3 linked regions of the Ovis aries genome follow. The protein of the gene in region 2 interacts with the protein of the main gene of each other region in a pairwise test. Links are inferred from orthologs where the notes say so. Each region holds a gene or a part of one and is shown on either strand. Other genes may lie near its edges. The genes, in order: ISCU, NUP62 and AGR3.

Region 1 (3,750 bases), on a different chromosome or scaffold from region 2:
GGGTTCTGGCACTGCCTGCAGAGCCCGGCACTTAGGGAGGCCCGCAGGGCATTTCCTAAGAGTTTTGTTCCTGCTTTCCATACTTAAAAGTTTGGGCGTTGATTATTGAGGCCCCTCTGTTTCAAAGAGTTCAGCAATGAAAAGTTGCAAGCAGGAACAACTATACAGAATTATACAGGCCTCGCTGGCAAAGATCAGCCACAAAGTGTGCCTCCTGCCCAGTCTCCTCCCACTCCCAAGCCTGACTTTTGGCTTCCCAGCTGCTGGGTCAGTGTGTGCCTTTAAGCACTGCCAGAGCTGGCAGTGAAGGTCACTGGCTGGTGCTTTCCCCTTTGACGTCAAACTGCATGCAGTGTGTTCCTCCCTGCCTTGCTTCTGTTCTCCAAGATACGCATGAAGCCGCCTGGCCAGCTTCCCACCACAGTGACGAAGGAGATGTGGAGAAAGCTATGGTTTACCAGAGTGCCGGGCGCTTCCACCGGGGCAGGCAGAGTTTGATTTGTGGCATTTCCCGTCCCTCTGGGGATAGCTAACTGATACAGTGAGTATGAACGTGAGATCTGTTTATTTTGTCAGAAGGGGTCAGCACAGTTTACCAGGAGGACTAGGATTCAGCCCCTGCTGGAATCATTTGTAACACTGACTTCTCCCACCTCACAGGAATCAAGATGGGGACCAGAGGAAATGCTGGACATGTAAATGCTCTGTCAACTACAGAACACCGTTCAAGCAAAGGGGTCACCGTTACCACCAGTAAAGATGGAAACCAGGGGTACCTGTAATTTCATGACATCACCACACGCTGGAGCCCCCACCAATCCAGTCCCAACATTTTTAGATGTCTTGTCAAGGGACCCCACGTTTCGGGGATTTTCATAATGATCCACAACCTGAAATGAGAGTGAAGAGAAATCACAGTCACTCTTTTTTGCTGTTCATCTCCCCGACTTTGATGGCAAGCTCCTTCAAGTCAGCAAGCTGGACCTGGCAGGCCATCACTAAATACCAAATTTCACTTGGGCAGGATTTAAGAGATATGGGGATCCTGGAGAAAAATCAGCAAAATCATGTCTTAATTCTGTGGGGTTTTGAACCACAACTAATTACTTGACCTCTAACCACCCAAGTCACAGAGTTGGGCTCAAACAGCACCTGTGTAATTTCGGAAGAAAATCCATTCTCAAAAGAATGATTACTATGCAAAAACCTACACGTCTGTATGGTCCCAGAAGCCTCATGGAGATTGTTACGGGAGGAACAAGGCTATGGAATACAGCCATTTGTGTGTGGTGATAAATAACCACCATGACTGTATTTCGGGGCCCTGAAATCTGCGGTGCCGCAGCGCGCTCTGGTGGCGGAAAGGCTGCGCGCGCCAGGTCATTCCGCGTGTACTGTCAACAATATACAGCCCTGGGTCCGCGGGGAGTGAGGTCTGTGCGCAAACGCGTGGAAGCCAGAACAGAGTAGACATCTATTCAAACTGGCACATGCGAGGCTTTAAAAACCTTGCGGTTTGTTTCCCAGTTAGTCGTTAAGTATTCCGAACTTCCAGTCCCCTTCCCCCGACCTATCCGACCACGGATTTTGACTTCCAAGTCCAAGGATCTGTAAGATAATATCCAGTTTCGACTTTCTGCCCCGGGGTTGATTTATCGCACTTTTTTTACTTAACCGGTTCCCAAGCGAGACACGTCTCATGTGGCTGCCAACTACCCAACCTGTCTTAACTCACAGCATCCCACCACCCCCAAACCAAACCAAAACAAACACAAAAACGTGACGACTGTTGGTTACACGTCCATGTCCACTCGGAGGCTCTGAGCTCCTGCAACAGTAACACCGACCCTCAGCGGCCTCCCTGTGCCAAGCGCCCTGCCCAGGACTCCGCAGGCAATGCACTCGCGTCCGGGGGCGCTGCCCAGACCCCATCTGACGAGCGCGGGGCAGTGACTCGCCCAAGGTCACTCGGCCGCTGTGTGTCCGGCTAGCCCGGACAGAGCAGGACCCTGCTTCCTGGGCAGCCGAGAGGCTTAAAGGCCGGATGGATGTTTCAGATTGAGGGCAGCTGCCGCTAGGCTAGCGGGAGCTGTCATTCCTGTTTCAGGCGCGGTTAGTCGCCCCAGCGCAGCGAGGGAAAGCCATTCGAGGCGGCCTCTTGAGAGGAAGGCCCCTCCATCCAGGGCTGGGGGCGGCCAGGGCCCTGGGCTGCAGTCGGGGTTCCAGGGCCGCGCAGAGCGGGGAGGGCCACTAGGCTGGGCTTCCGCTAGGACCCCTAAGTCCTCTGGGGGGTCCTCGCACTCCCGCCCGCCCCCCCGCCCGGTGCGGACCCCCGGGCCGCTCTTACCTTCTTGTGATAGAGCCGAGCGGGAGCTGAGAGCTCCCGGGCGGGCAGGCGCGGGGGCCGGAGCAACAGGGCCGACGCCGCCCGCCTCAGACGGCCCGCTCCAGCCGCCGCCATCTTGAGGGCTTGCGCCTGCGCAGGTGGAGCGCGCGGCCGAGGGGAGGGGCGCGTGCGCGAGTCGGCTCCCTGCTGGGAGCGCGCACCCTCTAAAGTACCGGCGACCTTGCGCCTGCGCCCTCCCGCTGCGTTCACGTGTCCCCGTTTTGTTCCCGCGGCGCGGAGCCTAAAGGTTTGAAATCGTTCGAGGGCTGGTCCACCGAGCTGGGTTCTGAATCTTGAGGATCCTTGAGCAGGAAATCAGGACCCAGCTTTGCGTTGACAAAGCCCCACCGCCTATTTCGGCGCAGAGGCTCAACCAGTCCACCCTTCTTGGCTCTATTTTGCAGCTTAGGAATTTGAGGATCAGAACGGTTTAGTAACTTGCCCTAGGTTGCCCAGAGGGGCCCAGTTGGGATTCTGACTTGAACAGTCCTGAGTTAGAATCCCATTTCTGCTCCTAACTGGCTGTGTGCTGCTAAGTGAAACATAGTGTCATTGTAAACCTCGATCTTTTTTGTACTAATTCAAGGACAGTTCTTCATCCATTGAGCAAATCTTGTGTTGAGTATCTACTTTTTGTCAGGGTGCTTTGGGAAAACAACCCAAGACGACACAATTAAGCTTGCTACTGAGGGAGCAAGGCAATAAATAGACCCACCAAGGCTTTTCTACCACTAAAGTGAGAAGCTTAACTAAAGGAAAGAATACTTTGCTCTGATTTTAAAAATTGTATATGTTTATGTCTCTATTAAAAAGCAAACTGGCACAGATTAAATCACAAGATATAGCAATGAAGAGATTCTAAGTAAATATTTATTAATGTAATTTATTGATACTGGTTTGCAGAATATGATCCTATAAAATCAAAACTCACGTGTATTTAAGTGCTAGGCGCCAGGCATTAGATAAAGAGAAGGAATCTCTGGGAAATGAGTTATTCTCATGAATGGTGCAATCGATCCTTCCCTGAGGACTTAAGACTTTTTTGCGCGTTTGAGGCTCAGTTGCTGGGGAGACTGACTCACGCGCCAGGTCAGACTAGGTGGTAAGATATTTATTCCAAGAATCATTTTTGACCTTCTCAAGATGGCGCCAAACCCTTAACTACAACCATCACGCTCACTCAGTGGCTGCCTCTATGGCTTCCACTTCCTGCCTAAGGACCCAACTGCTGTCCGACGTTGTGCCGAAACGCATGCCCTGTTGGTGAGCTTTTTTATTCGAACAAGAGCTACTGAAAGTATATAAAATAACATGAATCTCGTGTATTTCGAGATTTCCATGTCATCCGAGGCGCATAGTTTCTC
Region 2 (3,750 bases):
TGGAGGACCTACAAGTGTGACAAAAATGTGAGTGGGTCAGGATCAGCCTCACCTACTATTGCCAAAGCCACAGGGAAATCAAGCCACCTCCCCAGAGTCCCAGGACTCCTCATCCTTTCAGAATTCTAAACCTGTCCTTTTCCTGTATCTGAGCCCCACCCACTCCCAAGGGAATTCTCTTTACATTTGGCTTATTTCTCAGAATTCCCAAGACCCAATCCTTCCAAAACAGAAACCTAATGGTCTCCCAGGGGAATTTCCTTAAAGTCCTTCCCACTCACCCCAAATATTCCCTTTCATTTAAAAAAAAAAAAAAAAAAAAACAACCCACACTCAATCCCTGGGGAATTTTCTTCCAGTTACATCTCTTCCTCTAAAATATAGCTTTTAGGCCCCACACCCTCCCTAGATTCCAACTCAAATCTGTTCCCATGGGAATTCCCCCTTTTCCCGCCCGGTCGTCAAAGTTATCCGTTCAAATCGCAGTTCTCCCTTTAAATTTTGGGGCTGATCGCCACTCTCTCTCAAAGTCCCGCCCCCACGGTACATTTTAGCTCCACCCCTCCCCGATGATTCCCCAGAGGCCCCGCCTCTTTCTCAGGCAGAAACCCCACCTCCCTCAGCAAAAGGTTTCGTCAGCCCCGCCCCTTCCACAATGGGTAACCCCGCCCCCAACCCCGTCCTCGGAGACGCCTCTTATCCTAGCTCCTTCCCCTCTACAGGTCGTTTCTAATCCCCGCCTTCTCCCCTGTCAATCTAAACCAGTCCCCGCCCCAGCAGGCGCCTGAATGAAAGGGAGGGAAGATAAGCTCGGCGCCTGAGCAAAGTGGGAGGCGGCTCTCTCGTTGAAGGCTACAGCGCATGCGCCATCTCCCGAGCGGTGCCGTAGCCACCGCCCTCCTGGGGGCCAGTGAGCATGTGCTGCTGCTTAATGCCCGCCCTTAGAGCAAAAAATACAGCCTCAGGTGGGCAGCTGCGCATGAGCAATTGCTCGCAGACAGTCAGGGCGGGGGTGTGGGGAAGCCACCGCGTCTGGGAACTAGTGCGCAGGCGCACACGCACGTGGCTATCCTCTTTAAACACCAATTGTCCGGAAGAACGCACCCGCCCGAGTGCGCATGCTCCGTCGCGCGAGAACGCTCGTCTTCCCTCTTCTGCGCCTGCGCGACCGTGATTCCTCAGTCTCCCCACCCCCCCGGGCTCGGTCGCGAGGGCCGCGAGCTTCGAAAGGGCGGGAAAGGCGGTTGGAGAGGGAGGGGCGAGCGGTTACTCACTCCATGGCTGCGCAAAGGAGAGGCGGCGGCGGCCTCGGCTGAAGGGAGACGGCAGGAGCGGAGAGCGCAGGCGCGGTGAGCGCGGAGACTGGCCGGGGGCACAGAGGGGTCGCGGCTACAGAGCCATGGCCGGGGGTATGCGGGCAGAGGCGGCGTGGCGGTAGAGTGAGGAGAGACCGTGATCTGAGGATGGGGAATGAGGTGGCCCCGGGGACTGGACACAGATATACCGCGGGCGGCGCAGCACGGCCTGCGCGGATCCTTCCGCGCCCCGCCCCACGTGGCCCCAACGCGGAGGCGGGCCTGCACCCCTGCCCTCGGGGATCTGATCCCGGCTTTCGATCCCGGGGGTCCAGGCCTCTCCTTCCTCTTACTCGTGGATCTAGCCCCGCTTTTCTCCCGACTCCGGGGGTTCCGACCCTCCCTTCTCTCTGACTCTGGGTTCCGGCCCTCTGCTCCCTCTGATTCTGGTGACTCGATAATCCGTCTTCCCCGAGACTCCGGCCGGTTCATTTCTCCTTTGCTTTCCCCTGCTTCGCGAATTTCCGGCCAGCCACATGCTACTCTCCTCATCCTTCAACTGCCGTCCCACTCTGAGAACCTTTCCTGTGGCTTAGAACCTGGCGTGAGTCACAGAGCGCGCTCCAGTCAAATCCCAGGCCGGCGAAGGTGGCCTTGGGCAAAAGACCTGAATTCTCTAGCAGCCTAGACAGGAGACTATCTGTAAAACGCGGAGAATAATCAGTTGTACCTGGTGGGGTCATTTGTCAGAATCAAATGAGTCGTTGCCTGTGAAACTGAGATCCCACTTCGTACATGCTCTCTCAACCTCTTACTGTGAGTAGGAAGGAACCCTGGGGCTCGGTGTCACCCCTTCCGACCCCCCTGGCAGGAACCCCAGACGCTAGACCATCCAACACTTGCTAAAAGGTCATCCTTGTGTCTCTTTTACCTCCTCCAAGGTAATTCCCAGCCATCCCCCCCCTTTCCCATTCATAACATGGACGCTCGGCCCCATCTTGGTGCAGCGAGTCAGTTATCACCCTCAGGCTTGTTATCTTTTCTCTGTCTCCTGCCCACCTACCCTCAACGCTTATCCTCAGCATTCCTTTCAGGTCAGTTGGTTCCTTCTTTTGTCCATACCCTCCACCTAAGCTCCCTTTCAGACTGTCCTCTACCTCAGCTCCCCCGACCCCACCATCAATCGTGCAGGTCTGCCAGAAATAGGAAGATCTGTAATCCATTGCTCAAAGAGATGGGACTTCCTAACCATCCCCTCCCGGTAGGCTGGACCCTCCCAGCCCAAGTGGTTGTGGGTCTTTCCTGTGCTGCAGAAACCCATCCTCCGTTCGTCCACAGCAGGACATTACACCTGGAGTTGAGCTTTTCCTGGTGCTTATGAGACTGAATCAAGATCCTGAGAAGACAAGGGACCTTGATCTTCAGAGTTATCTGAGAATGAAGACAGGCTTTTTTTTCTTCCTCTAAGTTCAGATGCTCTTTTTTTTTTTTTCCTTCCAGATTTATTGGGCTATGATTGACATGTAGCACTGGGTAAGCTTAAGGCGTACAGCATAGTGATTTGATTGAACATACCTCATAAATTGATTAGTAAGTGTAGTGAACATTATCTCCTACAGATAGAAAGCTGAAGAAATAGAAAGAAATACATCCTGTTTTCCTTGTGATGAGAACTCTTAGGATTTACTCTTGTAACAGCTTTCATACACAACATATGGTGGTATTAATGAGGTTTATTGTATATTGCATCCCTAATACAGGCTACTCTTGCATACTGGAAGTCCTTCTTGGGATCTGACCACATTCCCTTCACTTTATCCACTCTGCCAGTATTTGAGCTCTTGCCCTATAGGGGCTGTTTTTTACTGAGGCAACAGAGTAACGGTTAAGAGCACAGACTCTGGAGCCAAGTTGTTGGATTCAACCCCTGACTACACCCCACTTAACTAGCTTACTGGCAATTTCCCTTCCAAGTGCCTTGCTTTCCTTAATAGTTCTAGAATCAAATATGGAGTTGAGTTAGTAGAAACATGCTGATGGCCAATGTATGTGGCCATTGACAGTACCTATTTTTTAGTATTGAGGATTAAATGAATTGATCCAGGTCAGGTGCCCTTGGACTAGTGCCTGGCACAGAGTAAGGTGTTACATAAGGGATTCATTGTTACTATTAAGGTGGATATGGTTTATCTCTAGTGCCCAGCAGTAGTGCTTCTAAAGGTCTTTAAAGTAAGGACTGACTGCCACTCCTCAGTGTTGAGTACTAGCGTGTGGGATTAGGGGGGACCATTGGACAGGCTGCTGGCAGTGGGGGCACAGTCATCCCCCAGTCTTCTAGATTATAACTGGTGGACTAGGTAGAGTATTTTTCTTTAACTTTTTGTTTTGGAATAACTAGATTGACTACAAAGCTGCAAAGACAATACAGAGAGTTCCCGGGGAACCCCTCACACAG
Region 3 (3,750 bases), on a different chromosome or scaffold from region 2:
TTCCATTTGATTTGGCTCTCTCTTTAAAATTAACTGATAATTTCTGGAGTTCTTTTTCCCCTGTTTTCAAGTAATGCACAACAAAAAATTCCAGTTAATTGAGTTGGTTTTATAACTAGACTGTGGGCAAGAGATGAAGAATTTTAAAACAATCCAAATGACTGAGTTTAGAAAATAAAATGAAATTCCAGTACCTCTTGAAAGTGTCTGAGGAGGTCTCTTTTCCTTTTTGATAGCAATGGCAAGGTTGGAAGAAACTGTGGTGAATAAGAGGCAGAGGACCAGAGCTGAGTGTGACATCATGTCTTCTCAAGAATCCTTCAGAACTGGATGGTAAAAAATATCAGAATCTAGTAGGTTACCTCAGGCTGTCATCAAGACATTTTTTAAGAGTTAGACCAAACTTAGGCTGACAGGTTGCTTTGCTTGTGTGAGTTGACATGGTACAACCATCTAGAACTTTCACATTTTATTTTTAAATTATTGTAAAAATGCAGTCAATTCAATAAAAGTCCACTTGATGAAAAGCCACAGTGTTTGGGCTTCCTGTGGGTGGTACAATGACGTTGACACCCAAATAGTCACCCAAAGCCTATTTCTGACAGCTTTTGAGTGCTTACAGTGCTGCTTTAAATCTCAGATAAAATCATGTTGATTAAAGGGCTTGCCCCTGCTGAATGCAGTGGGAAGGTGACAAGTGTCATGCATTAATAATCTTTGCCTTTTGATTAAAACACCATTTTAACTTTATACCAAGACAGTAAGATGAGGCATGAAAAATTAGTGCTTAAAATGGAAATGGGAGGAAAAATGGAATATGGAGGTTCTTGTTTTTCAGTTCCTTGATAGTCCTTTATCTTTATCCTCCCATCGTTTACTCAGCCTTTTGCCCTTCAGTGTGCAACTCTGCCCTGTTTAAAAATCAGGCCTCCCATTTCAGTATCTTTCTCTTGCCAGTGGTGCATCCCTTCGGTTCTCTCCTGGATTGAAAATGGTTGCTTTGGTTCTATTTAAATTATTTTCTTTCCTAATCTGGAAAGGATTCACTTGTAAATTTCTTTGTATTGAGAAACCCTGTTAAACAATAATCATGGTGCTGATAAGTATCACAGTTTAAGTTCTTATAACTTGGTAATACTGTAAAACATTTCAGAATGCCATCTTTTACCTTATGGATGTCATCGTGTACTGTAAAGGTTGGAACAAAGGAAGGGTAGATTTCAGGAGGGGATAAAGATGGTTGAGTCTGAACACAGAGTCCAATGTGGGGAGGGCAGGCTTTGTTGGGGTGAAAGTGGCTGTAGAAATGGAAGCAACCATCTAAGGCAGGGTCTTAACTTGGGTCCAGGGAGCTTCTAGGTGATCTGTGATTGAGCCCCTGAAGTCTCAAAGTCTCTGAATTTGACTGTAAAATTTTATGAGCCTTTATTCTCTTTTCTGGGGAAGAAAGCCCCCAGTTGCCTTAAGATTCTTCCAGGTATCTTTAGAAGCAAGGAGTTAAGAAGCAGTTAATCTGGAGGAAGCATGAGAAAAAATTCTTTATGATATAGACAGAAATAAGTAGGTAGAATCTCTAGCAAAAAAGTTACAACTTCACCTTTTTCTTAGTTTAAAGCTGCCAAATTTAAATAGGAACTGATTTTTTTTTTCAGATTTCAAGTTATTAGGTATAATTGTCAGAGTGTTCTACTTAAAAAAATGAAAGTATTTGTTTTCTGTTTGACACTGATAAATTGTAAAAGAGGTATTAAATATATCCTATAATGAAGACAGTCAATTTATATATTACTGTTTCGGATGAGTAGTCATTTCCCTGGTGAATAGAACATGATGACTTACAATCCTCTAGTATCAGATGCCTGGGTTAATCTAATTGGGGGACACAGATGAACATGATGTGGTCATGTGCTGGGAGCAGCTCACACTGCACTCGGAGGCCAATAACCACATGTCTACAGTTAGGTGTTATAAACACTGGCAGCATTTTCTGACAGTACTTTACTTTTCAAAAGTAATTTAACGTATGTCATTTACTTAAATATTTAAAAATTCTCTGTAAAAGAAAAGAGGGAGTGAAATTTTACATTCTTTTCACAGGATATTAAAATTAGTTCCCTATGCTAAACAGTAGAACCTTGTTGTTTATCCATCCTATATATAAGTTTGCATCTGCTAAGCCCAAACTTTCACTCCATCCCTCCGTTCTCTTTCCTGGGGAAGAGAGCCCCTTAGAGAATATTTAAAATAAAAATGTGTATATATATGTATATATTCTTTATATTCCTTACGTATATGTCCTTTATGACTGGATCACTTTGCTGTACAGCAGAAATTTGCATACTATAAGTCAGCTATACTTCAATATGAAAATTAAAAAAAGAAAACAGAGGAACAATTGTTACTTGCAGCATAATTTTTAAAGGGTCACTTTTGATCAATGTTAATTTATTATAGTAACATTAATACAAGTAGAGAATAAAAGCATCGTTCCAAATTTTTGTGACGAGACAAAAACTGAGGAGCCTACGCTCGCCTGACGAAAGTATGAAGCCAACAAAGAAAATCTCATTTATTAAAAGAAGAAAAATTTCGCTGAACTTCCCTCTGACTTACTGAAGGCCTCAGTTTTACACAGTGAAAAGGTGATCCTTTAAATACAACTGAGCTTGACCACTGATTAAATAATCTGGAAATTTTGCTTGCTTACCTGAAATAGTCAGTGCTCTTGCTGGAAGTGTATTCTGGATGTTTCTGGTTAAAAATGGGTGTGGATTTATAGACACACACACACCTGAACTAGAGCCCCACCTGCCTTGAAACAAGAGCACAGTCCACCTGCAAACTTACAAAAATGGGCTTGTCTGAAAAATCTGTGCTGTTCTCCAGTTCTTAGCCTCTCACACTAAGAAAGAAAGAGTCTTCTTTCTCTAAATTGAGATCGAGTGTCCTGATAGAATGAGGCCAAATACCACCTTTGTACTTTTTTTTTTTCATCCACCTTTTACTTCCCAGGGTAATTTAATGTTTGGCTAGAGTTCAACACCAGGAAAAGGTGGGGGAGGGGGGTGGTGGGAGGGGAGGAACTGGTCTGAATGTCGGAACTGTGTGCGCACTATTGTTCTCGATGAAAGGTCAGTGAGGCTTGAGATTAGATATAAAACAGAGGAATTCCTAAGGTTTACTCTCTTTACAGAACTAGAATTAATAGCTGAAGAGAGCAGATCCCCCCTTCTTTTCTGAGAAAGAGGAAAAGAGAAATATGCTGTTTTAAAATTTAACATTTTAAGAATTTGACTCTGTATAAAATCCCTTACCTTACCATGACCCCCCCCCCAAAAAAAAAAGGAAAGCGGGTAATTAGATACTATATTTATCTAATAGTTTAAAATTTTTTCTTATAATTAATCTATGATTACAGAAAAGCATTTTTAAAGTATGGAGTTGCGTCAAAAAGAAAGTAAGCTTCTCTTGCCCGTCCCCAGTACTGCCTGTCTTTCTGTTCACCCCCTCCCCAACAGACACACATCTACCTGACCCCGCCACGTTCTACTTCTTGGACTTAATTGTTGTTAAAGTGATCTAGGGCAGAGTCTTCAAACCTGGCCCACCTGTTTTTGTGCAGACCAAGAGCTAAGAGTGGTTTTTACATTTTAAAATGTTTTTGGGTGAAAAATAAAAAGAATCATAATTTGTGACATGTGAAAATTGTATGAAATTCAAATGTCAGTGTCTATAAATAGAAATGACTGG

The links.
Region 1: the proteins of NUP62 (region 2) and ISCU interact in binary tests that used the Homo sapiens proteins (3 or more experiments, as listed by UniProt). The two-hybrid records come from large-scale screens. The link is inferred for Ovis aries from reciprocal best matches to the Homo sapiens genes NUP62 and ISCU.
Region 3: the proteins of NUP62 (region 2) and AGR3 interact in binary tests that used the Homo sapiens proteins (3 or more experiments, as listed by UniProt). The two-hybrid records come from large-scale screens. The link is inferred for Ovis aries from reciprocal best matches to the Homo sapiens genes NUP62 and AGR3.

Annotation. Positions count from the first base shown.
Region 1 is NC_056070.1:64,528,823-64,532,572, forward strand, and holds the start of ISCU (iron-sulfur cluster assembly enzyme ISCU), read right to left. Parts: upstream 2,473-3,750; 5' UTR 2,462-2,472; coding exon 2,348-2,461; intron 891-2,347; coding exon 777-890; intron 1-776.
Region 2 is NC_056067.1:55,999,850-56,003,599, reverse strand, and holds the start of NUP62 (nuclear pore glycoprotein p62), read left to right. Parts: upstream 1-1,268; 5' UTR 1,269-3,750. UniProt on the Homo sapiens protein: Essential component of the nuclear pore complex. The N-terminal is probably involved in nucleocytoplasmic transport.
Region 3 is NC_056057.1:26,341,567-26,345,316, forward strand, and holds the start of AGR3 (anterior gradient protein 3), read right to left. Parts: upstream 2,754-3,750; 5' UTR 2,708-2,753; intron 327-2,707; 5' UTR 304-326; coding exon 195-303; intron 1-194. UniProt on the Homo sapiens protein: Required for calcium-mediated regulation of ciliary beat frequency and mucociliary clearance in the airway. Might be involved in the regulation of intracellular calcium in tracheal epithelial cells.